Schizosaccharomyces pombe: one gene and its partners. The gene in region 3 interacts genetically with the main gene of each other region. Each region holds a gene or a part of one and is shown on either strand. Other genes may lie near its edges.

Region 1 (7,265 bases), on a different chromosome or scaffold from region 3:
TTGTAATTTTACAAATACCTCATTTCTAGTTTATAATTACAGTAAATGAGTGCAAAAGAGTTCATCAACACTTAAAAGAAATTTAATTAATATACTAATTTTTAAAAATATAAATTCAATTTTAACTTTTTGCAACTAAAGTCGATTTTTTAATATACTTCATTGCTTTCTTCACTATAAATAGAATCCAAAATTTGAAGATTACAAAATAGCTGTTAAAAACTTAACAAAGGCAATTATTACAAATACTGAATGTATAAAGCTTGGGCCCCAATTGCAATTACCTAATAATATGTATACGAAATATAGCACAATCCTAAAAGTTCAATTTCAGTATATAAGATTTCATTTAAACTATAAATCCTCCTGTCATAAAACTAAATTTATTTTGAGTAAACACCTTTTATCATTAGCACTGACACTGGTTTTACTGTGATATGGTGGTGTAAGCTATATCCTTACCCAACTTACGATCAACGTCTCTAAATTAACTCATAAGGTTAATTTAAATGACACATTTAGGAATCCTTGAATATAAATTTGAAATTTTCAAAAAGGAATTCTTTAAGAAACCTAAGTTCTGTTAATTACCAAGCCATGGATAATGTTCAGGAACACGATCCTGATACTCAAGAGCATAATAATGAAACTCAGAACCATAAGCAAGAGGACCATTCTAATTCCTACCAGACAAGAACTATTCCTTTCATAGAACCCCTTTCAAGGGAATACCAGAAACGAATTATTCTATGTCAAACAGGTAATCCTTATAAAGACTTGTAACGTTTTAAACATAATTGCAAGCTTTTATTCCGCAAATTCTAAGTTGCTTACTTTGTATTCAGTTAATGGCCCGTGTCCTATAATTGCTTTGTCCAATGCATTAATATTAAAGTCAAACGTAGATCGACCATTTGAATTGCCGAAGAAAAGATACATCACACCCGATGAACTGACAGAATACTTGGTGGAGTTTGCTAAAGCATACGGCTTATGCAAAAATCAGCAAAGTCTTCAGGATAAACTGACATCTATGCATTTCGGTCAGCAATTGAATCCTTGTCTCTATGATATTGAAAAGTTTGAGTATGGGCATGAAATCTTTTGTACATTTGGAGTTCGATTAGTTCATGGTTGGATTCTTTCAGATGATATGGGTTTGAGCGACGAAGATTTAAGCTACCTTCGAAAGCTTGAATATTATGAAAAAGTTGCAGATACATTTGCCGAACGTCGTTCTCTATTAGAGATGCAGGAGCCACTAACTGAACAGCAGCAAGATTTTTTAAATAATTGTAAGTTTTTACTTATCTGTCGTGCATACTTTCTTCAGTTTACTGCTTGAGAGACTTTAGCCTTATAATTTGCTATATGTTTTTTACAAACTAACACTTCAAATAGCTACATGTGTTGACAAAGTTATGGAAAATCGTTATACAATGCAATTTTTGACGAATGCTGGTCTTAAAAAGATTCTTGAGCTTGTAGGTCCAGGGGAAATAGTCGTGGTTTTTCGTTCCAGTCATTTCAGTACCATGTATTCAAATCCAGATTCATTCGCACAATTTACTTTGGTCACAGATAGTGGATACGCAAGGACAGGTGAAGATGTTGTGTGGGAAACCTTTGACTCGCAAACAGTTGAGACAGGCAATGGTGAACTTTGTGCAGCTAACTTCATTCCTGCTGTTTATGTTTTGAATCAAAGAAAGGAGGAGAAAAAAAAACGCGCTAAAGATGATGAACAATATGCCAAGAGACTAGCGAAAGAAGAAGAAGAAAGAGGAAAAAAGGAGACTCCTAAAAAGGCTTCCAACACTCCTCGTCGTAACAAATCCAATACCCAGAAATCACGTAAGCAAAGCGAAAACTGTTTAATTTCGTGATGAAACATGATACTTAGAGGATCTGTCTTTTATATTTTTATTTTTTGTATTCGCTCTAGTGAAAGCGTATGCATTTACTACATTTATTCCATAGTTTCTTTTACGTCAACAATTATTAATTAATATTGAAATCTCCTAAACTTTTTTGAAAGATTGAAAAGTAAACAAGCATTACATATATCCGTAAGACTAAAGATACTATTGCTACCAAAAAGAATTTTCTTCACCTTGTTAAATGCTCATGGTTCGTAAATAAGTAAGCCTCGACCATACGGTAGAACCCAACCGGTACCATTCATTGCTTTTACCCAAGACCCATCTCGACATAAATATTTACCATCGTCAACTCGCATTTCCTTGAATGGTAACGAACAGTCGGTTTTCCAAAAACGTAAAACATAATCATCACCAGCACTGCTAAAAATGCTTCCATTCTCATTTTTCATCAAAGCTAAATTTCTTTCAAGCAAATTAGAATGACCCATATAAGACATAATTGACTGGGGTCTTTTTTTACTTTGCAGAAATCGGCAATCATACAAAGAAATTTTAGATTCCAAACCACTAACCAAAAGCTTCGGTTGGGAAAAATCTAAGTTTTGCATTGAACAAATGCTAGATCCATGATAGAATCGCTGTACACATTCTTTCTTCGTCCGAAGATCATACACTAATACACTTTTATTTCGACATCCAGCAATGACTAAGTTGTCACCCAAATATTTAAGACTGAATACGTCTCCTTTAGATTGCAAACTTTGCGTTAATTTTCCCTCTCGATTAATTATTGCAATTTTTGAGGTGCCACCAACTGCAAAGCCCATCTCTCCAATACTTTCTGCACATAAAGGGGTTTTCAAAAGTTTAAGAGATCCCCAACGGTAATTATTGGATTCACCCAATAGCTGGTTATAAGTAGATATATGAAATTGTCCCTCATTCTGCAGAGAAGGAGATGTAGACCAGAAAATTTGCATTGCGTTACATACCAAAGAAGAAATGGGATTATTAGAGAGGCCTATCCTTGACAAGGAAAAATCCTGAATTGAACCTTCTGAAGTATATTTTTCATTTGCAACTCCAGATTTGTCTTCAGGGGTAAGACAACACCCCAATATGTCGCCGTTTTTGGAAGTTAAAATTATGGTATTAACTTCGCGAAGCCAACCTATTTTTTGCAGCTCAGTCCCAACTGGAAGCTGCCGAAGATTTATTTTTTTTAGGTTTTTTGCACATAAATAATCTCTGTCATCATTACAAGAATAAGGATATTGTGAAAACTGTCTATCAAAAAGATAAGTTGAAAAGTTGAAAACGGGATTGCCTCCTTTTCCTTTGGTTCGTTCTTTACTGATATTATTAAAACGCTTCCCCCTTTTCAACCTCTCCTTAGTATAAATATTAGAGGACGGAGTAGACTGCCCCGAGCTAATTATTCGAAAGTAACGCTTTTTTTCAGAATTGTAATAATAACCGGGAATATGAAATGGTAGTCCGCTCATAACCCAGGGATTGATGGTAAGCAAAAGAAATTAAAAACAAAAAAGGTTTTGTTAAAATGTTGTCGTTATACCATTTCTCTGTTGTATGTAGCCAAATACTTAGGTATTCAAAAGACAACACAACTATATAAATTAATAAAAAAAAGCACCAGTGTGCGGCAAACGGTATAATAAGGTAACACGATAAAATTCCTTATTTGTTAACTTATAGTTAATAGCTTAAATGCCCCCTATAAGGAAAAAATGCCGTAAAAGACAAAATTACTAGTGCTTGCAGCTAAGCTTATTGTCGCTCATAAGCTAGTTTCAGAGATTCCTCCATTTTCTATGTATTGAGAAAAATATCGACTTCTCTTAACAGTGCTTGGAGCGTCGTAATTAAAAATTCGTGCTTCGACTTCTGTATACTAGAGTTACCAATTAGCACAAATTCCCTCACGTTTTTAAGAACAATGCGCACAACGGAGGAGAACAGCTCAGGAGTTAATGTGCCGCTGTTGTTAAATACTGATAATGTCATAGTCCGAAGACGTGAAGTAGCTCGCGATAATAGTTGAAGACGAGAAAATGATAGCTGTTCCTCTTTTATGATTAACTTGGAAAGAACATGAATAAATGCTAAAAGATGAATTGAAGAACAATCATCTAGTGAATAATCAGGCACATCTTGTAATGACCGGAATGCTTCAATAGAGGGATCCTTCGTGAAGCAAATTAACGCCTCTTTATTCTTAGAAATGCGAACCAATTCCAAAACTTTTTTCGATACTGCAAATGACTCAGATTCTTCAAAATTAGAAGAGGATGTTGGACTTTGATCGCTAGTTTCTAATCGCTCAATCATTAAGAGTTTTTCAAGCTTTTGGTTAATGTTTCCTATGCGGTTTGAAAAATCGCACAACTGCCTATTACTGCTTCTATAAGTGGATGTTAAGTTTTCCAAGTCGTTTGCCAAAAATCCAGTTTCTAGGAATCCTACCTCAAGAAGAAAAGGTTTTGAATGTATCAATTTGAAAAGATCAGAAATTTCATCGGTTGCAGCTTCTGAAATAGTCTGCTCCAACAATTTCATGTAAGAGTTCTTAACAACCAATTCCACTCGACTATGCAAGCTTTCAAATTTTGCGTGGATTCTACTTTTCATGACTGAAGAGATATTTTCTCTAACCTCATTAGGATTTTGAGGAACGTATTGATTGAAGAATGGCATGGAGGGATAACAAACTGATCCCAAAGACTCTGTAAGATTTTGTGTTGTGGAATCATCCTTAGATTTTGCACAATTTTTTAAATCTTGACTCAAAGCCCTTAGCGTGTTATTAGACTTTAATCCCGAAGTTAATGATGCCCTAGCTAAAATTCGCTTGTCAGAATTAGGATATTCCAAAGAAGTGCCCTCGTCAAATTTGGAATCGCTTTCTATGCAGAACTGAAAATATCCAGAACTTAGTGCCAAAATTAGTTCAAGTTTGGAACTATCACAGCCAATTAAGGTGACAAAAACAATGCTATGATCCACCACCTCATTCGATATTACTTTATTAATATAACCAGAATCTCCAAAACGCTTGCCTTTGGAAACAGCAGAGATCAAAGCTGCAGTGTTAGATAATACACCCACATTGGATAAATCAGAAGGTGAATAAATAAAGATATCCAAAAGCTGATTCCTTTTTGCAACAATCATGTTTGAATTATTGAAAGTAAGTAATTGCTGAATAGGTGATTTCTCTTTTTCATTTGAAAACTCAATTTCTTGAGTAAAAGCACATAACCCAAAATCAAATAAACCTAATATAGTATTATTAGCATAGGAGACACAAATAACTTTATCAATGATATCATTATTGTTCGGTGGAGATGAAAGAAAAGAAATAGAATTTGCTGTACTCGGAAGCTGAAGGCTCATTGTCGCGATAGCCGCCCAGTTACCTCGGTGTGAAGGATTAGTAGAAAATAAATTAGAAACTGGAAATGAATAGAAAAAAATTTGAGAATTCACTAATATTGCAACAACAGAACGGTCAGAAGAGATGGTGTATGAGTTAATCGGCCCAGGTAAATCAACCTTGGCAGCTTGTAATCCATTAAAATCTTTTGCATAAACTTTAGGGCTAATATTATTGGAACGAATATTTGATATATCCACAATATATAAAGAATTCTTTACAATCATAGAAAACATATTTGAAGAATTAGGAATCCAATCACAAATACCATAATTGGCACGACGGATGGTAAACAAAAGTGAAACTGAAATTTCAGATCGCTTCTGTAAAATTTTCCAAACATACAGATTAGAGAGAGCGTCCATTACCAAAAGATGGGGCTTTGTATGCTTATTTTTGCCAAAATGTAGATTTTTAACATCAGATTGCGTATAAAGTATGAGCGATTGATCGGTATTGGCGTTCAGTACGCGAATATGGCAAGGATCCTGATCCACGTATGCAAAATATTCAGAAAATTTATCAATAACTTGTGAGTTAGCATAAAATGTACTATAAGGAAGATCACAAGATGCTATTTTATTGCAATCTTCTAAAAGCAAAGGAGATGCAACGAATGAAGCCGGAAAAGAAAAAACTCGACCCAAAGAGGGTTCAATACAGTAAACATCATGAGGCACATCAGGTGCGGGTGTTAAAATTTTCTTTTGCTCATCCTTCAATAGTTGAGTATGCATTTCAGAAGACGTTGAGGATTTGGTTGATGGAACTTCATCACCAGAATTTGGCTTCAATGAATTGACTGATTGTCCAGGAGAAAATTCTCGATAATCAGCGACAGTTCGAAATTCTTGATATTTAGTGGTTGACGATTTATTTTTCCCCTGGTCAACCCTTTCATGAAAGGCTTTATCATGCTGCGAACTGCTATTTGAAGACAAATCCTTTTCTTTCATTGAAGGAGGCTTCTCCGTATCTCTAGATTTGCCATTTTGTTGCAATGGACTTGTGGCTTCTAAAAACTCGAACGGGTTAAAATGATGAAAGAATGGCTTGCGAGTTTGTTCATAGGAACTGCTTTGGGGAATTTCATCACTAGATAAGTTTGAAAAATTATCTCGAACATCGAGAGAATCTTGATATAAATCTTTATTGTCTGAACGACTTACTAAGTCAAGTAGAATGCTATCATCAGGAGTTCCATGGTTCATTGAGGATTCCGATAATGCCGAAAAAAAAAGTTCATTACTTTCGTCAACGAACGATCCGAGATTTGTTTCATTAATTGATTTTTCTTTATAAAATGACATATTAACAACGATGGTTGTTTATGTAGTGCGCTTTGTTTGCACTCTACATGTACTGGGCTTTTGTTAGTGGGCAAGTTCGAATTTTCGCTAATATTAAAAATAAGGAGGAAGCAATTTAGGGAAATACATTCGTCAAACTTCATCTTAGAATTTAATACTCACATTTTTATTAAGTTTCTCAAAAGAATGTGAGAATGCAACTATTAATTATTTAAGAAACAGAAACATAAATAAAAGCATTCTCAAATTTTTAATAAAAAGCGAGCTTTAAATTTGACAAAATGACTCTAATATCAGTTTATTACTACGATAAAAAGGATGTATGATGGATATATCTAGGTATTTGCTCAATGCGGCCCATATACTTCATTAGGCTACTACATATTTCCAACCTTACAGTCTCACTACTACTATTGATTAAAAGTAATCAGCTAGCCACGTAAAAGAGAAGAAGTCATTTCAAAAAGAAGATGTCTCAACCCTATTTAATTTCTAAGTAAGATTGTAAGAAGACTCGGTTCATTATATTAACATGTTACTTAAACAGATGGATGGATCCTTTGTTTGGAATCTTCGTCGGTACTTATGGTTATTATTTGTATGAAAAAGAGCATCGTC
Region 2 (7,665 bases), on a different chromosome or scaffold from region 3:
TCATTCTTTGATTAAACTCTCTTTCTTTTGTTTGTCGCATGTTTTGCTTATAGTTTTCTTCCGTTAAATCATATTTTTACAAAAATTTTCTATTCTGTATACATTTTCGTGATTATTATATACTTAGGTAAATGGCACGGAAATATACAAAAATTCAAATTTCATAAGTGTTAATTATTTACGGCATAAACAACAACAATAGTCGTGTAGAATCTCCATATCCACAGAATAATAAGTAGTAGGTAGCATTCATACAAATGCTGAAAGGTTGTGTAAACAAATACTTATTACGTAGTTACTTTATTAATGCTTTCAGTATAAATCCACGATGCACATTTGGATTGAAGCAAACTGAATATTAAAAAAAAAATAAATAAGCAAAAACCGTTATTGTACAGAAATAAGCTATTACTAAAAAGTGAAGTTGGAACGGAAGACACTTTCGCCTATCAACCAGACGTATGACAGTAAAAAAAATAAAAAATCCTGACCTAAAGAGTATTTTATAAGAATAGAATTAATTATTAAAAGTTCATTTCAAATAAAACATAACATGTAGTAAAACTTTTCAACACGACATGAAAGAACAAGTACCACAGACACAAAACCCAATCCAGCGGTTGAAATAATCACAATCCGAAACTTAAAATTTCACCAATTTAGTTATAAAAACATTCCCTTTTCAATTCATTAAAGGTTAATGTCGAGCATTCACCCAACCGCATATTTTATAAAGCAAAATAACCAAATAAAATCAACATAAGGATCTTATTTCCAAACCTTTACAATTTTTTCAAGGCATTTCAAATAAAATATGAAACACCGAGTATGTTATACTTAAGACAGAAACGAAAGTGCACTCGTAGGGAGGGGCAGGAAATGCTTTGTAATATACAAAATCATTTAACCAGACAGCCCGGGTTGCGATATGCAGTACATAAATAGGTCAACGGAAAAGAATGGGAGAAAAGCCTATAAATTAGCAGAAACTATTTCCTTCATAAATATATCACTTCTGCTTATAATCTGATAGTATGTTCCCAAGAAATAGCGACCTGACAAATACCCCAAAACCGATAATACATGAACTCCATTTGAAAGAGAAAAAAACGATATTTTTTTAAAATCCCCGCAAATAAATAACTGCTTTAAAAAAGAAAAGCAAAAAAAAAGTCAATTCAACAAAATGACGGACAAACAAAGCAATGTGAAAACAAGAAGACAAAAGGAATTTTACTTGTCGTCGACTCTTTTGGGAATTTTTTAATAACAATCAAACCAACAAAAGAAAGTAAGGTTTGACAAATAGGGGTTAAGTTGTCGAAAAAGGAAACTTTACAAAGTATAGAAAAAGTCACTTAAATTTTAATCTATACGAAAAATTGTTGAAGACTGCGCTAGTAACGTATGCAATAAATCAAACCAAACAGAATGTCTTTTCAGATGATTAGGAGGACTGTTATTCCTTATTTATTTTTCTCGGCACAAAGGTGAAAGAAAGAGAAGAGGGATCATTTTGTTTCCCCAATATCCATCCACTCATCCTTTCCATGTTTTTTATTTTTTAGGGGAAACAAAAGTAAGTTTTGTCTGAAATTTTTTTTATGCAGCAAGGCTTCGGGCCAACTCGGTACGTTGCTCACTTTGAGCGGTGATGCGTTTTTGTTGTCGTTGATATACAAGAATCCTTGAAACTTGAACGGCACCAACGATGGCCAAGAAAAAGTTGACAGTAGCATTAAAGTAATTTTTAGGACGAACGATCAGAGACCACCGAGTCCAAATAGCACCAGTGGCACACAAGGCGGCATATTGACGAATAGAAAGGTATTCTGGGGAACGGGCATAATCACCAATACCAGAAAGGACTAAAGTCCATTTCATGGCAGGAGCCCAAAAATGAACAGTCTTGGGACCGGCAGGGTGATTCCAAAAGCGTTTAAAGCCAGCACGAAACATTTGAGTATATGAGAAAATAAAAAAAATTGGAGGAAAAAATAAGAAGGAAAAAAAATATGTCTCACAGGAGATAAAAAAAATAAGTCAATACTTTTTGTAGGGTTAGAAATCGCAACTTTTCCTGCAAGGTCTGATCTTATCGTTGATGAGAGGAATGATAAGAAACCAATAATGAAATGAAGGAAAAAAAAGATAAAGGAATATGAAAGGGAACAAAAAAGATAAACGGAATGATGGATGCTAATAAGCTTAAGAATAGTCACTACTTTGTAAGACGAAACAATGTGAATGATATGTAAGATGGTAGTGTGAAAAAACCGAAAAAAAAAAAAAAAGCAAGAGACACAAGAACTAGAAAACAGTTTCTCAAATCAACTTTATTGTATACCGTTACTTTTTATATTTTAGTTTCAATCGAGGAAAGCTTGAAATTTCGCCAACAAATAATCCACACGAATATCGATGCTAAGTTGGTGTATACGTACTAGGGACGAATGTGTGTGTGTGTATTTATATGTAAGCTCGGGAAAAGAGTGATATGAGCAAACGAGTCAGATTTTCGTACGTCCACGCAAAAGCACGTAGTAGAGGATAGTGAATGCAAATTAGAATGTGATAAGGTAAAAATAGAGAAAAGCAGCAAGCTAGCTTTTATTTGAAGATTAGGATGGCGTAAAGAAAGGAGAAGAAAAAGAATGGGAACACTAGGATTTGTATATTTTTCTTTTTCTTGTGTTTTCGGTTTCACTGTTATGAATGAGAACTAGTAAGAATAAACACAGAACAACAAACGCTATGTATGAATGACTAGGATGTATGTATTGGAGCGCAAAGCCTGCCTTGTATATAAATTGGATCACGCTACCGTAATGTTATCGTTGCACTGATCAAAACAAATTTTCCTACGCTAAACGACCACCGCAACCAAACACTGATTTGAGGTTGATTAACTATGATATCGATGGCACAAGCACCCAACGTTCCAAAGCTATTGATTGCCGTTACCGAGCCGGAAAGGAAGCGCGAGGTAGATCGGGAATGTAAGTATGTGACAACAGACTAGAGCGAAGGAAGGAACGAACGTTTTAGAGCACCAAAACGAAACCGCGTTTTATTGATGTTGTATATGAGGAAAAAAAAAAGATTTGGATGAAGGAAACGGTCACAATATCGCTTCGGAATGTAGATACACAGCAGTAGCAATGCAATTGTACACAAATTCAGTAAAATATGTAAAGTCCGCCTGGACGGGGGAATGCGAAAATAAGGCAGTGTGTAATCGCCGAAATTGATTAGCAAGCAAGTAATTGTCAGTGAATCCATTAGTCAACGAAAATGCAAGTGGGAAAAAAATAATTGAATGAATGGATCCATTCATTCAATTTATTATTTATCCCTTAAAAGAAAAAACTCTTTTGCTTATGATGTCCAATTGTTTACAAAAGCATCGGTGGAAATAAAAGCGCAAGTGCAGTATAACAAAACATACAAGCATAACCAACCTTACAAGCGCTGTGTGTCTTGCCTTGCAAAACCTCTATTGGGATGTACACCTAAGAAGGACTCTACTTAGGAAGGTGAAGGTTGTGGGGGTTTGGGTTCTTTGGGGGCCACTTCAGGTTATCCTAGATAAAAATATTCGGTGCTCTCTGTTGATGATTTGATGATGATTGCCATAAGTTCAATCAAGCTCCGAAATTCCATACCACTGGATCGCCAAGTGCAGTACATGAGGATAGATAGATTGGAAGCGACGGTCGAGTAGATATCGGATGGCCGAATGGGCAGAGAGTGTTGGTCGATAAAAAAGGTGGAGGAACCTCCAACTAGTACATTTACGAAAGGGTTATGATGGGAATGAGCAAAAGGTGGTCTCTCCTTGCAGGCAAAGAATGAGGAGGAAAAGGAGTAACGAGAGGTTCCTCTGACATTTGTGTGGATATGCACTCATGTGATTACAATTACCCTTTCCTAAACCCGATCTGTGCTTACACTTCGTATTGTGAATGGTTGTGAATTACTTAGGCATACATAGTGCACCATGAGAAGTCAGCGAAACAAGGTTGGCCCAATATGGAGAACAGCCATACGCACGAGTGTGTTGGAGCGTCTTTTCTGCGATTGCTGACCAAATAATGAATTAAGCTTTTTTTAGGATGGCGAAAAATGGGGAAAAGACATAGGATAATGACTGATGTACATCAAGGGAAACTCATCAAATCGCACAAGTTGCCGGATCCTGTGTCTCCCAAATACCCATTTACAAGGCATCCTTGTACATCTTTCTTGTTAGTTGCGCATCATAACGAAACCAGCGGTGCTAGTATACAAGGTATTTGGTTAAACAGTGTTGGCGACGGTGATGCTTGAAATTGAGTCATACATTGATGGTATCCGTATTAGACATGCTAAAAAAAAAAATTTGTAGTAGCGTTGCGTTTATCCCATAGTGTTTGGTTTAGGTTTATATTAGAGAAGCTTGGATTCCGCTTATTCAACAAGCGCTTATTCGAAAGTGCTTAGATCGCATAAGCGCTTATTGAATAAACTGTGTAAACTCAATAGGTAGTTCGGATTGTGCTTGCTAAATAGTACTTGGATTGTTTTTTAGTCAATAATACTTAGATTTTGTTTAAAGACAATAATACCTGGAACGTATACGCACTTATACTTGAACTATATTTACTCAATCACACTGAGTTGTACTTAATAACACTGAGTTTTCCTTTCAAATTACTATTTGTCTTCTCTTTTTTAGTTAATTGATCTACTTTTTCCTCGGCGTTTACATTAAACTCCACGTTAAAACTGAAACGCCTTTTAGGCTCCCTTAGAATACATTCCATTTGAACCCATATATATCTGATTTTTCAATAAACAATCATAATCCCTGTCAAACTAATTCAATCCCTCTTTGCACCTCTGTCTATTAACCTACTTCTAGTCCTGCGCTTGGGTTGACCCTCAACGTATACTTTCCCCGACTACCTCAAGCCCCCTTAGTCAAGTTGTTTCGACAATTTCCAAATATTTCATTCTGGGAATGATCGTTTTTCAAGTTCAAGCACATTATTTTATATAAGATTTGGTGGTCAGCATTTCACAAAGCTCTAACATAACCGTGCATAGTTGGAACCACTGAGGTGGGCCCTTCTAATCCTTTAATCCAAAAAAAGTATTTTCAAGTTGGTTCAAAGAACTGCTTCTCCATATAATCGTTTTTTTCCTCTGTATTATTGTTACAAAAACGTATCTATCGACCGATAGTTTCAAAAAATGCAATTCCGTTCACCCCTTAGGCGTTTTGATGCCTTTCAAAAAACTGTCGAAGATGCTCGCATAAAAACTGCTAGTGGCGGTCTTATAACACTCGTTTCCGGACTTATTGTCATTTTTATTGTTCTCATGGAATGGATCAATTACAGGCGAGTCATCGCAGTCCATGAAATCATCGTCAATCCCTCACATGGCGATCGAATGGAAATCAATTTTAACATCACCTTCCCCCGTATCCCTTGTCAAATACTTACTGTCGATGTCTTGGATGTCAGTGGTGAATTCCAGCGTGACATCCACCATACCGTTTCTAAAACGAGGTTGAGCCCTTCGGGCGAAATTATAAGCGTTGATGATTTGGATATTGGAAATCAACAATCTATTTCTGACGACGGAGCCGCTGAATGTGGTGATTGTTATGGGGCAGCCGACTTTGCTCCTGAAGATACCCCAGGTTGTTGCAATACCTGTGATGCCGTTCGAGATGCGTACGGTAAGGCACACTGGCGAATTGGTGACGTTGATGCCTTTAAACAGTGTAAAGATGAAAACTTTAAGGAGCTTTATGAAGCTCAAAAGGTCGAAGGTTGTAACTTGGCTGGTCAGCTCTCCGTCAATCGAATGGCCGGTAATTTCCACATTGCTCCTGGACGATCTACTCAAAACGGAAATCAGCATGTTCATGATACACGTGACTACATTAATGAACTCGATTTGCATGACATGAGTCACTCCATCCATCATCTTAGTTTCGGCCCTCCTTTAGATGCGTCTGTCCACTATTCCAATCCTTTAGATGGAACAGTGAAAAAGGTAAGCACTGCCGATTATCGCTACGAATATTTTATTAAGTGCGTTTCCTACCAATTCATGCCTTTGTCTAAGAGCACACTTCCCATAGACACAAACAAATATGCTGTCACACAGCATGAACGTTCTATTCGTGGCGGTCGTGAAGAAAAAGTCCCTACCCATGTTAACTTTCATGGCGGAATCCCTGGTGTATGGTTTCAATTTGATATTAGTCCTATGCGTGTTATTGAACGTCAAGTACGTGGCAATACCTTTGGTGGATTTTTGAGTAATGTTTTAGCTTTGCTTGGGGGCTGCGTTACACTTGCTTCGTTTGTTGATAGAGGCTATTATGAGGTTCAAAAGTTAAAGAAAAATTGATCAGATTGTTTATGCACTAAATTTGTTTTGTTTTGTTTTTCGTTCTTTTCTTTTCTTCTGTTTGGTCCTATCGATCAATGTAAATACCATCGGTTTCCATGGCAAGTGCCTGATTTGTAACTTTAGATACTCTATTTCCTATACTATTCCAAATTGATACCACTTGATATTTCATGACTCGCTTATCAATCACAAATTGCTTTTAGCCTCGTTTAGCAAACAACCACTCGCTATATTCACATTGAAGAGCATACGAACCACGCACTTTCTTTCCCTACATCTCAATTCATTTCTTTTAATGTTAAACTCGTCTTCTTTCTAATTAAACATACAAAGATAAAGATCTTTCTATCTGGTGTATTCAATTTTACAAGGACATATAGTATTAGATATATTCGCTTTCCGAACCTAAAGTATTGTCTTGATTCTATAGCATTTTAAATAAAAAGGAAATTAAAATGAATTGAATTGTCTTAAAGTATTAATAAAAATAAGTATTATTTGTAGTACGAGTGATCAAAATTTTTTTAGTTTTTTTTTAGTGCACTCCAAGGAAGATCGTGCCAAGCGGAATGGTATGAGTTGTCATATCCATACACGCTCTTCTACCATAAGCATAACCCCGAGACCGACAATCATACGTCTTAGAAGCCACAAGGAAAACCGATCGTTTCCATTGGAAACCAATTTCCCTTTTCCAAATACATACATTTACAATTAGCGCTCTTTTGTACGGTGTGATCCTATAGAAACGGTTTCGAAAAATAGCAAACCACAATTTGCTGCTTTGGATAAATCACTTTTAGAAAAGCTTTCGATTTACGTGTGAAAACGGTTTTAGTATAGTCGTTATTAGAGCTGCATGGAATCGTGGAGTTTATTAAAGATTTAACAAACGAATTCAACTCGAAAAAAGAAATCCAAAACCAACGATTGAGTTTTTTTTTTAAAGTGTAAATATAATTTTTTTTTAAGAAGAGTCATTTTTAATTTGCTACTGAAATGACTGACGCAGGAAAAAAGGAGCGTGTCAGCATTTTGTGTGTTGGTAGCCCTTCCATCACGACTTTATTAGGTTGGAGGTTACAGCAAAGCTCAGTTGTGACATGCCAAGAAACTATAATGTTTTTCAATGCCCCCGAGCCTTCTACTAACGTCTTCACTATTCAATCGAAAAAATTCGGAACTCGTAAATACCGTCCGACGTATCGTTTATCTAAGCTTGAAGAGGTTACCTCTGATTCTGAGCCTTTCGAT
Region 3 (6,416 bases):
GCAATTTCAAACGTTGCAAATCACCTTTTTCTTTTTGAAATGTCACCAAAAGTGGTAACAACTGCAAATCGTTGAGGTAACGTGGTTTTCCCACTAGTCAATAACGAATACCAATTTTTATGTGATTGCGAATTTATCGGCGAGTTGTGACACATTTGTCTCAGAAAACACACGCTTTTTTGGTCTTTTCTCTACTGCTCAAATTTGTTGCTCTTTTTGTTGTGTAGATCTTCCCTCTGATTTTCAAACAAAATTTGCGGTTTCCCACCCATTGTTATCAACGTCTATTATTCTTGGAAAATCTTCCATTACATTATTGAATTTGAATAACGAGGCTAAAACAAACAAATGAAAATCTGCTAATTCACGAAATGGTACTGGTTCCATTAGATAAGGAAAAATTCGAAAAAAAATTATGTTTCTTCAGTCGTAGTATGCCTACTGGATTATCATTAGCAATATGAGTAGCTTTTATCCCGTTTATTATATTATAAACGATTCGGATTCCTATCGATTTATTCTAAAATAAAATACCCGTCAGTTATTTACTTGGATTTTAACTTAGAAGCCAAAAAACGAATCTTCAACCAGACTGAACTGGAAAACATTAATTAAAGAGATTCTCGGTTGTAGATAGTTGTAATTGTTTCTGTTTCTGTTCTGAAAACTTGTTAATATAGTAATCCCCCACTCTTTTTCCATATTTAGTCTTTGAAGAAAGCGAAGCAATTCTTATACTACTCGTCTTTAACGAGTTGCATATATACCGCTCTATTTTTTTGCAGTTTCCTTTAAAAAATCTCATTAGAATGTTTCAATGCATACTTAATAAATCAATTTTATCAAATGCTTTGTTGTGAATATATTCTTAAAACTCATTCATTTCTTGTAAAGAAATCTTTCTTTATATGAAATTTGAAATATTCGAAATTTCATCTTTATAACTAGGTATTTCTCAATACTTTTACATAAATTAAGAAGGGAAAAAATTTGGGTTTCCTTTTTAAATCAGTTAGAGGCGAAACCTCTAACGCTTTTCATGGCTTCGTGTTAAATGTGTAATTATTTTTAAGAAGAAATACAAACACAATTAACAGATGTTGCATAACATTACTTTAGATTTGAATTTCACCTCTTAGATATCATCCATTCACATGTCAAGTAGGTGCAGTTTGTGGTTAACATATATTATTACATCTGTATTTAACCAAGTCTAGAGCAAAGAAGATATTTTCAAAATGCTGGAAGGAGAAATTTAGAATGTATGACTTACCTTGTGAAACCCTAGTATATTACGTTTTCGTAGTAAAACTAGTAGCAGGTGAAATTTTAGAGTAGTTTGTTGACGAATGTTTGTTTCAATTTTATCGCTTAAAAATTAAATTTGTTTTAGATTCATCTATTTCCATTATATTTTTTCTTTTTTGTAACATTATTCAAGTAAGGTTATGTGTATCAAAACAATAACTTCTGACTAACTACTCGAATAACAACCAAGTATTCCACTATGATTTTTAATGATGAGCCAATATTCAAGATTGATATAATTTCCAAGAGATGTTTACAAATTCCAGTTTATAATTCCCTTACGCTTTTCTTCCTCTGTATCTCTTGAAAGCCCGTTCTACTGCATTTGCTAAAAATGCAATAAATGTATGAAAGTTAAACTCAATAATCAAAGTCTTTATGTAGTATTACAGTTATGAATTATTGCGACATTTCATCTTCAGCCTTACTCAAAATCTGAAGGATTCAACATATGGCAATTTATTTGTTTTTATCATGGGAAGCACTAACGATCAAAACATCAATAGACCATAAATCATCATTTCTATATGAAAATGTAATATAACTTCTAATACAGGAATTCCTTCTTATACATTTATTTGTAACATTGCTTCATGCTTTTTTCCCTTTCATTTTCAGTTTTCTTTTGTTCCCAAATCCCAGAGCCATAATTTAAAGAAAATATGAACTGGCTAAGCGGAACCAAAGTTTTCAGTACAATTGATCTAAAAGAGTTAGTCCGATGTATAGACTTAGTCGTTGATTCCTATTCTTTACTTTTTCGCAAGAGAATAAAATTTAGGTAGCGAACGATGTTGTAATTACATACGAATATAAATTTTTCAACGAGATTTTTTTTTATTTTTATTTTTATTTTTACAATTTTAACACAAACAAATCTATAGTCTTCCATTTCTTTTTATTTACTTTCGCAAATACTCACACCTTAAACATGATTTTTCGTGTCAACTATACTTAACTATATGCTTTATAATGCTGCTACGTAGTTAGGTTGTTCATGTTTATAGCTATTGTATGCGTACGATGTTTTCAACTATTATTTTATAAAATCAGCACACTATAGATCGAGTTTGATTGTACTACCATACATTATTATCATTATCAATGTGTCGTTAATAATCCTGTATACTTGCAACCGTGATGATGAACAATCCAACATAATTATTTACACACAAATCATAAGAACATGATTTTCATTGCAATTTATGGTATCCTTAACACTATTTACAGACTTTGAAGGGAACCGTATATTAATGCAAACTAAACCAACTTCGTTATATAGGAATTGCGATAAAAAAAGTTTGTAAGTATTACAAGATATTCACATCATAATGTTTTTCCCAAATAAATGAAACATCTCAGAACGTAAAACATTCACCAATTTTGATCTTTTTTTAATTCTTTCGTTTATGGCTTTAAAATGTTTTATTATATTTTCTTATTATCTTCCATAAACCACACTGTTTAATTTTACATTGTAAAACATTACTAGTGGTGCTAAAGCTATCAAATTGCAGTGCTGTGGTTTTATTCCAATGTCAAATCCAGAAAGCGCAAAAAAACAGGTTGACCCCCCCTGGTTACAATGAGTTATTTATGGTAAGAGATACTCGTAATGTGGACCTGGAGTGGGGACTTGAATTGTGTAAGCCTGAAAAGGTAAACAAACAAAATCTCTTTACCAACATCATCAAGCCTCAAAAAGATAAAATAAACATTAAGACAGATAAAATAAAGTTCTTTTTAGATAACCTTTTTACTGAATTTTCTAAATTTCATGATAGTTGTTATCCTGATGGTAGGATTTCTACCCGCAGTAAACTTCGTTGGCCCTTGCTTATTATTTGGTGTATTTTGATTGTTTTCGCAATAGACAAGAACTTTGAAGTCAAAGATTTTCTTTCAATTTGGATAAATGAAAGTTTTATAAATGAAAATCGGTTTTACAGTGAAATTTGGGGGCCTATTGCTATTTACATTTGTTTGTTTGTTTTATTGTTGCTTGGTTTAATTTGTATGTTTCCTTTACAGTGATGCCTTTTTTTTACTAATAATTTAAAATAGACTGCTCCAAGATTGTTGTAAAAGCTATACCATTGATCAGTATAGTTATAGCAGCGGTCGTAGTAATTATCGCGGTGGCTATGGTTAAAATTTTATACATCTGCCATTGGCTGATCTACAAAATTTTAATTTTGGCTTTCGGCATAAAAGTTAAGCCATTGGGAGACACTCTTCCTACACATAATGGAGAAACAGGATCACATTCAAAGGCAACAGTTGGTTCTGACATTGAACAAATAGAATTTCAAAATATGCCCACTCCTGTGAAAAAATAATTTTCTTTATCGTTTTATGATCGAAAAGAATATAATCATCCTTACCAATATTTTACTGACTGTACCGTCCTAATCATGCACTAAAGGTGCGTCTGTTATGAATTTCAATTATGGAGTCAACCTAATTACGGTTTTTAATGAAGTATTATCACTTGATGTTACTAATGTTTTATCTTTCGTTTCAAGTCTAATCAAATACTATGAATGTCATTTACTGCGTCACAAAATGAATTCTTAATGATACATCATGAATGACTCGTTTTTAAAGTTATGTCTGAAAACTTGAAAAATGCAGCATATGGAAATTGTTAGATCGATTGATTCATTAGCTCAATAAATTCTTAAATTGCAAATTATATTCTGGCAGCAAAAAATCGAGTTATTCAGAGTCTTTCAAAAACTCTGTTTACGTATTGACATACACATTAGACTTAGCTTTTCAACAATTTATACCGCTACTTGTCGGTATCTCCTTCACCTGAAAAAGTAAATTTGTCTAATAAATTGACATGCAAACGAAGCTTTAATGTTTGATTTCTTAACCCCAATCGAATAGACAATAGCTATTTATGAAAAAAATAAATTTTAAGCTAAAAGTAAGTATGGGTTGACGATGATGTAGAATGCATGTGATTTGAAGAAATATAATTGAAAACAAAAAAAATTTACACAAGAATTCGCATCTTTTAACTACTGTACTTAATTACAGGTGATTCCCAAAATGTCTGAGCCGCTTCATCATTACTTACTGTCACATCATTATAATTATTCAGTATTAAATATGCAAGCGCTACAATTTTATTGCTTTTATGTTTGTGAAACCGTTGTTATAATTTAAAATTAACAGAAACACAACAAATATATTTGATTGTAATAAAAGTCTTTAACAATTAAGCAAGTGTTAAGTATCCGGTATGAGATTTATGATGGAAGTTGATAAAAAAGTTAAGTATAGCACGATTAACACATTTTACAATAGAATGTTATAAAAGTTCATATTGAGCTACAAGTTCCCAAAAAAAAGCAATCTAAAGTAAGATATATTTACAAATTGCTACCAAACTGAAAATATGTGGAACTTTTTAAACAGTTTTAAAGTACTTCCAGGTTGCCTCGTATTTAAATTAAGGGAATTTTAATTTGCATTATTTGTTCTAAAATCACTGCACTTATTTATGTTAAGGATTTATTGACATGTAAGTTAGAATTGCAAGCTTTGCGTGTTCCTATGCGATCAAATAAAAACAATTTCTGCACATATTATTCATCTGCCTTATATATAGTATCAAAAAAATGAACGTAATAAATTCTATCATTCTAAAAAAACGAAAGTGAAAATTAAAAGTATGTATTCTCATATCCAGTTATCTGAAAAAGTAAATAAAATATGGAGAGTATAAAGTGGTTTCGGAACGAAGTCATATAAGCCTTCCTAAAGCTAATGTAAAACTTTAGTTAACGAAAATTTATATATTTGACTATTTGCTTAAATCGAAATTAGGTGATTTAATTTTGCTTGATATTTATATCAGATTGTCTACTATTAAAAAGAGAACTTTTGATCACTTTATTCATTCTTTTTTGAGGCTCCTTGAACATCATATGAAAATTGATAGCTTTACCATATACAATTATGGCAGGTACTGATATTTAACTTTTTATTGACTAAAAACGAAAATGATCTCTTTTAAGAAGCTATACCGGTAAGTATAGTATCTTTCCGCAAATTTTGTTAGCCATATAATTTTCTAAAAAATTCTTTTAAAAACTTGCATCACGAATTAAGCTTATAAATCCCTTCCCCCCAAAAAAAAGAATACCATAACATATAATTGGCTTAATAAAATGATAAAGATTCTTTTCTTTTGGAGTAGCTTCAGATATAAGCTCATTAAATTTAATATTATTATCAAACAAATAATAAACTTTCAAACTCAAATCAAAACTTTATGCAGAGTCTTCAGTAAATTCGTATATATTATACTATTTGATTTCCAATAGGATTTTCATGTTTTCTCCTGCTAATGAATATGGAATCAAACACTTCTAAAATATATTTTAGAATAATGTGTAGCCAAAGTTCATACTAAAACCAATGTTCTAAAAGCCAACAATATTCTTTTCCATACAAAGTCTAGTCACATTGTTCTGTAATGTTCACCTGCTGATTCTTAAAAGTTGATTTCCCAAACTATATATTTATGTTGAAAGATATTCTAATAATAAAAAGTGAATCGATGTTTATCAGCGGGAACCACTGTCTTCTTTTAAACTATTTAATATAATTTGTACAATTCAATCGCGAAGGTTTCAATTTAATTAACCAACTGCACTAATCTCGTTTATTTATAACCATTTTTTGTTGATCTTCCTACTCACATCACTGGCGAAACGAAAGAAAAACATTTCTAATATTTCGTTGTTTAAAAAACTTTCTGTGATTCTTTATTTATTTGCTTTTTCAATTAAAACTAGCATTCAATAAGTATTTCGGGATTTGATTAAATTATACTGAAAAAAGTCTGTTAATCAGTATTCGGCTAACTGTACTATACAAGATCCAGCAGCCGGTTTCGATACGACAACAGCGGCATTTAATTCACTTTGAGTAATTTTAGGAAACTGCTTTTTATAGTATTGTTCCGTCAATGCTTCAACCAGTTTAGCTAGTTTATCGTGTGTAGTGAGATGTACCGCAGATCCACCCCATCCAGCACCCGTCGTTCTGGCTCCATAACCTCCGTTAGCCAACGATATTTTGCATACCTC
Region 4 (10,230 bases), on a different chromosome or scaffold from region 3:
TTTTCATCTTCCTTGGACCCTAATTTCTAATAATTGTCAAAAAATATATACAATAAACAAATTTTTGTAAATTGGATTTATATTATGGAATTTTTATATTTTACTGAAGCACTGATTATATTTAATGGTTAAATTTCTAATTTATATTAATTTATATGTATGTTACGGTAGTAAGATAAGAAGCAATCGAACATAGAAAACGCTGCTTTAAAATCGACATTGGTAATTTAAAAATGATAACAGTGTATTTGATGGTACGAACATTTTTTGCCAAGGATTACGATTTGATTATAAAATTTGTGCACCAACTCATTTATTCATATATGCTAAATATAATGGTAACGCAATTCCCAACAATTAAATATGCAAATTTTGTTATTTCTCTAGGTTTATACTTCACGAAGTTTTTTTTTACAGTATACTAAAAAATAAAACAAAATTCTACACTGTCCACTTACTGTTCTAAGCTTCGACACTATAGCAAATTTAATCATATGTTGAGAAATTTTCGAAATTAATATTATTTTTGATAACTTTTAAGTTGAGTTTCCAAAAACTTTACTACTCTATAACACACCTAATAGAAACGACTTTGTTGTTTAGCCTGTTCTTTGTACACAGGAGTCTTTACCATGATAGACATAACTTCAAACAAGATATCAGCAGCAGCTAATGTAGTAACTTCAGCAAAATCATAAGCAGGTGCAACCTCTACAATGTCTGCACCGACGAGTTTGATCCCATCCAAGCCGCGGAGAATGGTACGTAATTCTCTGGTGGTCCAACCTGCACTCTCAGGGGTACCGGTGGCGGGAGCATAAGCGGGATCAAGAACGTCGATGTCAATAGACAAGTAAGCTATACCATCTCCAACTCTGTCACGGATCCTCTTTATAATAGCATCAATTCCAATTGTGTCAATTTCACGAGCTTCAATAATCTCAAAACCACAATCAGCATCATTATCGTAGTCAGAGAGACCGGAGAGAGTTGTACGAATACCAGCATGAATGTTTGAATCGTTAGAAACTAATCCTTCTTGACTAGCATGGTAGAAATAAGTACCATGGTTAATGCTACCAACACTTGATTTGCCGCCTCCAAAAACCTTGGGCTTCCAGCTGTCCAAATGACTATCGAAATGAATGATAGAGACAGGTCCATATGCACGAGAGACCGATCGAAGAATTGGAAGGACAATTGTGTGGTCACCACCGAGGGTGATAACTCTAGGCAAAACGCTTCCATCTAATGCATAACCATCTTTCTCAGAATAAGATGTAGGCTTGCGAGTTAATAATTCGAAATGGCCATTCTCGATTTGTTTAATAGCAACTGCATTGTCATAACTCGTCAAAGGAATATCACCACAGTCCACAATTTTAGCCCAATTGTTGAAAGGGTTGGTCTCCATTGGAACGTTGTAACCACCATAAAGATTGAGACGACGAGATCCTTCACGGATACCGCTTGGACCAAATCTAGCACCAGGACGGTAACTAGTACCAGTGTCGAATGGTGCTCCAAGGAAGGCAATGTCGAAAGATTGACTTTTGTCGTTTAGACATTTCCAATAAGGAAGACGACCAAAAGTTGCGATTCCCGAAAAAACGGAATCAGCTTGTGTTTCACCATCTCCTGGAAAAGCATCGTCAAAGGTTTCAACTGCATTTGCACGAGATTGCTCAAAGATCTTTGGGTGCGCTTGAGCCAATTGAGCAGCACCCGCGAGAAGAATCAAAAAAAGGCTTTGAAGAGCCATTTGAATAATTGTTTGTACTGTTGAAGTTTATTGCATTTTCAGGTGAAATGAATAAGGTATTTATACTACATTTCAGATATACAAACTTCTTCAAATATCTCCAAGGAAATTTTTGAATCTGCCGTGGGGATTCACATTTCGTTAATATAAATAAGCATTCCTGTAAAAACGATTGATTTCGTCATTTGAGTTGAGCATCCACCGGAACAAACTAGTATAACGAGAGATTAGGATGGATCTTTAAGTTAGATCTAAGATATTATTGCCTATCAGAATTTCCTTGGAAATAAAGGCATGATTGTACGCTCCAAGGAAAATAAATTACGGAAGGCGAGGAAATTCGGGCTTTTATGATTAACTTTTAAAGTCTTATAAAATGGTTAAATTCATTTTTGCTTTTGAATAAAGACATATTTAGTCACAAAAGCCTCTGCAAGCATATACCCTTTCGGTGATCATAAAATTTTTGACAAACAAGCTTTGTGTGGCTATTTCGGCTTGGAGGAGTTGACATATAGATCTTTAGTCTTATTCAAAATATTTGGTATAAAATATTTACGAGCTGCTAATTTTGCTAAGACCAATTTGCTTTGAGAGTTTTCTGCTTGTAAGGACGACTCACATTCAGCATTTACAATGAGTGACATCGACAAAGAAAGCTTAAAACAAAATCAGAAGCAATGGGAAAATGAAGTTGAGTTGGGCGAAAGCAGAGAAGCTAATCAAGATGATGAGCTTCTGATGAGCCTTGGTTACAAACCAGAATTCACTAGAGAATTCTCTTACGTTAGCATTTTTGGTCAATCGTTTGGATCAATGGGTCTTTGTCCGGCTATGGCGGGTTCACTCATTTTCTCGATGAACTGTGGAGGAGGAGGCATGGTTTGGTCATGGATTATTGGATGTATATGTCTGATTCCAGTAAGTATATCATTGGGCGAACTGGCGTCTTCTATGCCTACTTCTGGAGGTCTTTATTTTTGGATTTTTACCCTAGCATCACCATCGTCAAGAGCATTTCTCTGCTGGGTTTGTGGTTACGTGTCAGTGCTTGGCTACGCTACGATTTATGCTTCAACAGTGTACTCTGCATCATCTATGGTACAGGCACTAGCTGTGATAGGTAGTCCTTCTTATTCACCTACAAAATATGAACAGTACGGAATTTACGCAGCGTTGCTTTTCGTGATTTCTGCCATGACTGCAATTCCCTCTCGTGTTATCGCGAAGGTGAACATCATTAATATTACCTTCCAATTCCTTGTATCCATTATTCTTATTATTGCCCTTGCCGCAGGATCTGACTCTACTACTAGAAATTCTGGAAGTTTTATATTCGGTGATTTTACAAATTATTCTGGATGGTCAAACATGGGATGGGCATTTATACTTTCATTCACTACTCCTGTGTGGGTTGTAAGCGGATTCGAATCTAGCGCCGCTGTTGCTGAAGAATCAACGAATGCTGCCAAAGCAGCTCCCTTTGCTATGATTTCCAGTCTTGGTGTGGCTACCATTCTTGGATGGTGCATCGTTATCACCGTTGTAGCTACTATGGGTCACGATTTTAATGCCATTCTAGGTTCCTCTTTAGGCCAGCCTGTAGCTCAAGTACTGGTTAACAATGTTGGAAATAAGGGAGCTTTAGGAATTTTCTCTTTGCTGGTCATTGCCCTTTGTTTGAACTGCATTTCGTTACTGATTGCTGCATCTAGAGAAGTATTTGCTTTCTGCAGAGACGGCGGGATTCCAGGAAGTAGATACTTACGTCTTTTGACTAAACAGAAAGTTCCCTTAAATGCAATTCTTTTAGTGCTACTCTATAGCCTTTTAGTCGGTCTACTAATTTTGGTTAATGTCACTGCCATTTCTTCTGTGTTTAATTTAGCAATTATTGCTCTTTATATCGCTTATTCCGGCCCTCTTATGTGTCGATTTGTGTACAATAAATTTCAACCTGGTGTTTTCTACGTTGGAAAATGGAGCAAACCAGCAGCCTTATGGTCATTAGTTTGGATGTGGTTTATGATTCTTATGCTTTTGTTTCCTCAATATCAAAAGCCCAACCAAGATGAGATGAATTGGGCTATAGTGGTCCTTGGATTTGTAATGGTCTTTTGCGTGGTGTATTATTATTTGCCAAAGATTGGTGGTAAAACTTTTTTTACAGGTCCAATACCTACTGTTCAACAGGAGAACGAGTACATATCTGGTGTTCCACTAAATGAACTATCTTTAAGCAGTTTACCTTTGCCAAAAGATTTTGACCAGAAGCAAATCACAGAGTAATTTAACCTGAGTGTTATACTTTTCTTAACTCTTCTTTTTGGCAACAGCTACGCTGTTTCATTGTATTTTTACTGTGCTTTTATAATTGTATGTTTATTAACAGTTCTTTTTTATTCTTTTGTTCCTAGTCTTAGTTAAATAGCTTAATATTGTTTTAATGTCTTTTAATGAATTAGTGGCTCTGTTATCATTATCAGTAATATAAGATTATATAAAATTTTTTTTATCTTTCGAGTACGTATACTTATCGTCTTGTCCAGATTTTCTTATCATCACTTCCCTTATAACCTATACTTAAGCACGACTTGAGTAGTGCTAAAATAAATCTGCAGATGTATATGCTTTTTAACAGTAAACTGCACCAAAGGCGGTAATGCTTGCTTACAATTGATACGCATTCAGCTAGAATTTAAGATAGTTGTTTAATTACTCTTTTCTTAACATAAGATGTCTCAAAATAAAGCATGTGATCTTTGCAGGTTGAAGAAGATTAAATGTAGTCGAGGGCAACCAAGATGTCAGACTTGTACTCTTTTTCAAGCGGACTGTCATTATTCTAATCGTGCTCGCCGTAAGAGACTTGTTCAAAGAAGCAAGGAGACGTTTGGGGGAATTACGTTACCCGTGTTTGATTATGCCGCTGGTATTAACGGCAATGAGCCAGAACCGAGTGATCACTCAATTCCAAATCAAGAAAATTTTGCATTAACTACTAATGGAACTATTAGTAAAAACATTGAAAAACCCGAGGATGGTGAAGAATCCGTTCAGAGACGCCTTAAATTGCTTGAAGAAAAAATCGATTTGTTGTTAGATATAGCTACTGAAACTTCAGAATTTAAACGTGAAAATAAGGCTATTGAATTACCTTCCTTGGTTACACAAATTAAAGATGCAGAATCGATTGTTATTAAACACAGACAAGGTAGCCCTGTCGACAATACACCTACTCGGATACTGAATGTGGAAAGCTTGTTCCCTCCACAGTTGCCGGACTGGGAGAAGGCATTCCATGACATTCCCAAGAAGGAAGTAGCCCATGAGTTAGTCACGTCTTACTTTCAGCATGTAAATTGGTGGTGGCCTACCTTCGTATATAATGATTTTATGTATGAGTTCGAACGTCTTTATGCGTTCGGGTTCCATAGCAATAATGCTTGGCTAATTTCTTTTTATTCTATTTTAGCATTAAGCAGCATTAGGAAAAGACTTGGTAACTCAAAGACGCTTGCAGAGTCTTTGTTTTCAACAGCTTGGGTTTTTGTTCAAAAGTCCGACTTTTTTCTTACTCCGAGCATTGACAAAGTTCAGGCTTTAATTGTCATGACACAGTACGCAGCTTACCTGTCTAGCTCTTCTTTATGTCGGACTTTGTGCGGCCAAGCCTGCCTCATGGCCCAACAATTAAACTTACATAGAAAGCAATCCACTGATGTGGAGCCTGAAAAGGCTGAATCGTGGAAAAGGATATTTTGGATGTGTTATATTCTCGATAAAAATATTTCTTTGATTTTTGGAACCCCTTCCGTTTTTAACGACAAGGATATTGATTGTAATTTGCCTGATAGCAAATATGAGCTTTTGTTTGGTGTACAATCTGGTGGTGATTTGATATTTGTTCCTACCGTATCGTTGACAATAATTCAGAGTGAAATACGAAATCGACTATACAGCGTGAAGTCACCTACGCAAATGGCAGCGAGAGAAAAAATCATCATACCAATACATCAAAAATTGAAAGCGTGGGAAGAAAACCTTCCTTCTGAAATAAAAATGTATCATGAAATGTTGCTAAACAACACTTTTTCTCCCACTATATCGCTTAGCGATCGGTTCGAATTTTTAACTTTCGCAGGTATGGAAGTTTACTTTTCTTACTTAAACACTTTAATTATATTACACAGACCTAGCTCGTCGACAGAGAATCGAAGGATTTGTATTAATGCAGCCCGTGAAGCAGTTCAATTGTTAAAAAATAGACTCAACATTGATCTCAGGGTCAATGTTAAAGCAGATCCGCTATGGATATTCCTATACTGTCCTTTTACACCTTTTTTAATAATATTTAATAACCTTGTTCACGAAACTGATACGGAAACGGACTCAGAAACATTACTTAACGATTTGGATCTTTTACATGTAATTTACGATTTTTTTATGGAAATGGAGCCAGTTAGTGACGTGGCTTTGGAACTTGTCAAAATTGCAGACAAACTTTTGCGGGTTGCTAAAGAAGTTTGCAGTGCCAAAAATAATGATGTTACGGATTCTACTTTTAAAGATATCGTTGAAGGTTTTGAACTTAACGACTTAAACAGTTGGGATTTTGACAGAGTAACCAATGTTATGAGGAATCTTTAAAAAAATATGAAAGTAACGTTGTTTTATTAATAATTTATTTGCTTTAATGTACATGGTGAACATCATTACCGGTTAACAATGAAGCTATTATCAAACTATTTTGCTTGATCAACTACATGCATCGACCCAAATGTCTAATTGAGTAGTGCAGTCAATTCAGAGGAGTCACCAAATCTTGAGATTGCCTTTCTTGATTGGGAAATCCAGTCAGTTGCCATTACAATTTTCAGTTCTAAAATTCCGACTATGGATAACGCTATTACCTGTCCAATCCAAAGACCGACAAGACCTTTGCCATGGAAGGCTAAATAAATTCCTAGAGGCAGAGCAAACAAATAGTAGGCAGTAATGTTAACTATAGCGCCAACCTTCTGTCTTCCCGTGCCTCTTAAAGCTCCTCCCATTGTACCATTCAAGGAATCTGATATTTGGAAAGCAGCTACTAAGGGCATTACAAGAGCAACCAGCTGAATGACATCTGGATCATTTGTGAAAATCCGTCCATAGATATTGCGTACGGCAATCATGGTAATCATGATAACGCTTCCTACTGCAACACCTACAATTGCTGCGACCTTAGCAGTTAGAGAAGCATTGTCAGGTAACCCAGCTCCGAGATAGTAGGCAACTCGATTAGAAGTAATTATTCCGAGACCGAAAGGAATTGTGTTAAGTAATTGATCTGTGGTCATAATTACTGATTGAGCGGCAAGTGGTACAGCACCAAGTTTACCAGCAACTAGTGCTACTATTTCAAAAGCCCACCATTCTGTTCCCACCATAACGATACCCAATAGTGATAACTTTACAAAAGGTCCAAAGTTCTCTAAGCATCGTTTATTCCAACCATTCCACGCCTCTGCCCCTTTTACGTATTTCGCATATTGAGTTAATAAAATGAATGAAAGCCAGTACGATAATCCAGTTGCCAATGGAGCGCCTTTTAAACCTAATCCATAATAATGGACAAGTAGAAAATTTAAGGCGACATTAAGAGGAGAGGTAACTAGAAGAATATAAGAACCAGCCCTAGTGATTTCTTGTGTTTGCAAAAACTTTTTTAGCAATTCAAAACATACATAACCTAGTCCGCCTGGGATAAGGTATCGTAAAAACTTTTGTGAAGCTTCAGCTAATTCAGGTGTTTGATGCAAGAAAATTAGGATGGGTTTAGAATACCACCAAACTAAACATATTGGCAGATATAGAATACTGAGCACGATGAAACCCGTTTGCAATAGAATTCCCAATTCTTGTTTTTTTCCGGCTCCCCAAAGGTTGGAGCCAAGTGTGTCAAAAGCAGTAGTTCCACCTAGAGCAATCAGCCAGCCTGTGCTCATCGCAAACATGTACGCAAAAGCAGCTACGGAAAGCTCGCTTGGTCCAAGGCGCCCGGTTACAATAACTGAACTAGTTTGCAAAGAGTTTTGCAAGGCATATCCAAGGATTACCGGAGCTGAATTTATCAAAAGGTATTTCACCTCTGTAAGTGGTCTACCCATAATAGTGCTTTCTCAGAGAAAATTTGGATATACGGTGTATTTTTTAATATAAATAAAGAGTACTTCTTAATGTCTGTTCACCGAAGGTTCAAATTTTCCTTTAATAAAAGTTTACTAAGCTTTTATCATATTGATTGAACGGATGGAACCATAAATTTATATCAGAGAACGCTTAGAAGCCGCACATTTAGGGCATAAAACTTCAGATGTCATGGCTAAACATTAGTATATCCGTGGAGATACGGAAATTTAGAAATACCCACGCAAAATATTTTTCGCTTAGCCAACAGACATTGGGAATTCTCGCCGAGTTTTTGCTAACTTAAATGATAGCAGTTAGCATATTTTGCCGGTGAAAATATTATTACCGTCTCACTCCGCTGGTTAAAAATAGTAGGTAACAAATCGGTTGCAGACTAAGAAGCTATTGACTCGCACGTTATTCTTAATTTGTTGAAATTAGTACAAAAATTTGAGCATGAAAGCGAATAAAGAGTACAAAAAATATTTTGTAATTTTACCTTGCATACTCATTGACTGTTAATAATTATAACACTTACCGATGGTGGTAAAATATATAGCAGAAAATAGCTTGGTGAATTTATTAGTCAATAATGATTTGAACAAACATTACAGAAAAAACGATTTGTAATTTCCCAAATAACTGTGTATAAGTATGAATCCAGTTGTTTGGCGTACGCATATATCATTCTCGGTTAATTTTGCTTTTCAAAAGTTTATATTTAGATTGCTGTGACTTTTAGAATGCAACACGAAATAACTTTAAATCTTTACGTTTTTATTAAAACTTTCTAAATTAGTTTATAAACATCCATTCGTTCTTTAAATAGAATAAGCACCAAAATTCATCTTTGCTTGCAATCACTCTCTTACTATATAGATATATGCATGATATGACAATTATAATCAACATTAAATAAACACAACAACAACAAATAATCACACTTGTTCTTACAATTTGTAAGCGTTTTTGCTCCACGCACGAATGCTCTTGCCAAAACGATAAAATATAAAAGGAATGGGAACCATCGCTACAGAAATAAAACCAAGCACACTAGTAGCCCAGTGATCTCCTAAATTAAGGTACATAGGCCTGGCCACCATACTTATGCCTCCACTGGCAGAATAGCGAACTAGAGTAGCTGCAGCTAAAGCGCTCGGTGCCATATGTTGATACGAATCAATAATGTAATTGTATGAAACGAAAAAAACTATTAATAAGGAAAACCCAAAGAAAGCGCTTGCTATTATTGGTACAATCCAGTGAATGTGATGTGGATAACATGTCCATGCAAACCAAAACATTGATATAGGCAACAAGAAGCAACCAATAAACAGCGGATACAAACGATCCTCTGGACATATAACTCCGTTTCTCTTTTTGTTGACCTTTAAATAATGCCAATAAATAAATGGAGTGCACAGACCTGCACATACGATTCCAACGCCAACACCAATAAACGACAGCCCTTGCTCACCTTTGTTGAAGCCGTATTTTGCAAATACTATAGGATATCCTTCAAAATTAATGTAGTTAATGATGTACACCACAGTCAAATACAAAGTAAAGCACACAACAATGGGCTCTGTAAAAATAAGAGAAACAGCTTGAGTAGCTGCCTGAATCATTGCATTTTTCGGATCTCGTTCCCGCTCATGGATGGTATAGTAAGCAGTGTTTCCCGTTGTTTTGCGAAGATATTTGGCCTTATAATCCAAAATCGTATCTTCGTGAGTTTCGGGGAAAAAAATGAAAACAAACACGATTACAGCAGCTGCCCAAATCATATTAATCCAAAATGTCCATCGCCATTCCAGATAGCTTTGTGTAATGAAATCACCGATTATAGGTCCAATAATTGGACCAAGGTACGGAAAAGTACAAAACCCAGGAAGGACATAGGTACGCTGGACAGGTGTAAACAAATCACTGATGGTTCCGCCAGCATTTGCCAAGGGAGTACTTCCAAAAACACCCTGGAAAAATCTTACAATAGCCAACGTCCAAACATTATGTGCACAACCTCCACCTACTTGAAATATAGTAAATATCAGTAGGGTAACAAAGTATATGATGAATCGGCCATAAATATCACTTAAAGGTGCAAATGGCAAAGACCCAACACCAAACCCTACTAAAAAAGTACAAGAACCTAACGTAGAAACTGGAATAGAGCTATGAAGTTCACTGGCGATATCAATAATGCCGCTAGAATACACACTAGAGGCGAAAGTAACAACAATGGTAATAACAGAAACCTGAATGACAATCCACCATTTATAACTATGGCTCCA

What was found.
Region 1: mutations in SPOM_SPBPB2B2.14C (region 3) and wdr21 together harm fitness more than expected from each alone (negative genetic interaction), as found in Schizosaccharomyces pombe (one large-scale study listed by BioGRID).
Region 2: mutations in SPOM_SPBPB2B2.14C (region 3) and erv46 together harm fitness more than expected from each alone (negative genetic interaction), as found in Schizosaccharomyces pombe (one large-scale study listed by BioGRID).
Region 4: mutations in SPOM_SPBPB2B2.14C (region 3) and toe4 together harm fitness more than expected from each alone (negative genetic interaction), as found in Schizosaccharomyces pombe (one large-scale study listed by BioGRID).

What each region holds. Positions count from the first base shown.
Region 1 is NC_003424.3:326,097-333,361, forward strand, and holds wdr21 (WD-repeat family protein wdr21), read right to left. Parts: upstream 3,490-7,265; 5' UTR 3,389-3,489; coding exon 2,126-3,388; 3' UTR 2,100-2,125; downstream 1-2,099. Other genes in the region: cysteine-type deubiquitinase Miy1, read left to right, coding at 598-760, 846-1,295, 1,402-1,886; protein eti1, read right to left, coding at 3,714-6,647; nce101 (non-classical export protein 1), read left to right, coding at 7,118-7,143, 7,195-7,265.
Region 2 is NC_003424.3:210,777-218,441, reverse strand, and holds erv46 (COPII-coated vesicle-associated protein Erv46), read left to right. Parts: upstream 1-4,918; 5' UTR 4,919-5,235; coding exon 5,236-6,408; 3' UTR 6,409-6,728; downstream 6,729-7,665. Other genes in the region: pyruvate transmembrane transporter Mpc2, read right to left, coding at 1,603-1,959; SPOM_SPAC24B11.07C (oxidoreductase), read left to right, coding at 7,411-7,665.
Region 3 is NC_003423.3:4,489,811-4,496,226, reverse strand, and holds SPOM_SPBPB2B2.14C (uncharacterized protein), read left to right. Parts: upstream 1-2,904; coding exon 2,905-3,322; intron 3,323-3,372; coding exon 3,373-3,647; downstream 3,648-6,416. Other genes in the region: galactokinase Gal1, read right to left, coding at 6,177-6,416.
Region 4 is NC_003424.3:114,377-124,606, reverse strand, and holds toe4 (transcription factor), read left to right. Parts: upstream 1-4,373; 5' UTR 4,374-4,498; coding exon 4,499-6,412; 3' UTR 6,413-6,546; coding exon of another isoform or gene 6,547-7,914; 3' UTR 7,915-8,553; downstream 8,554-10,230. Other genes in the region: SPOM_SPAC11D3.09 (agmatinase), read right to left, coding at 578-1,762; SPOM_SPAC11D3.08C (amino-acid permease), read left to right, coding at 2,399-4,051; SPOM_SPAC11D3.06 (MatE family transporter), read right to left, coding at 6,547-7,914; mfs2 (MFS family membrane transporter), read right to left, coding at 8,887-10,230.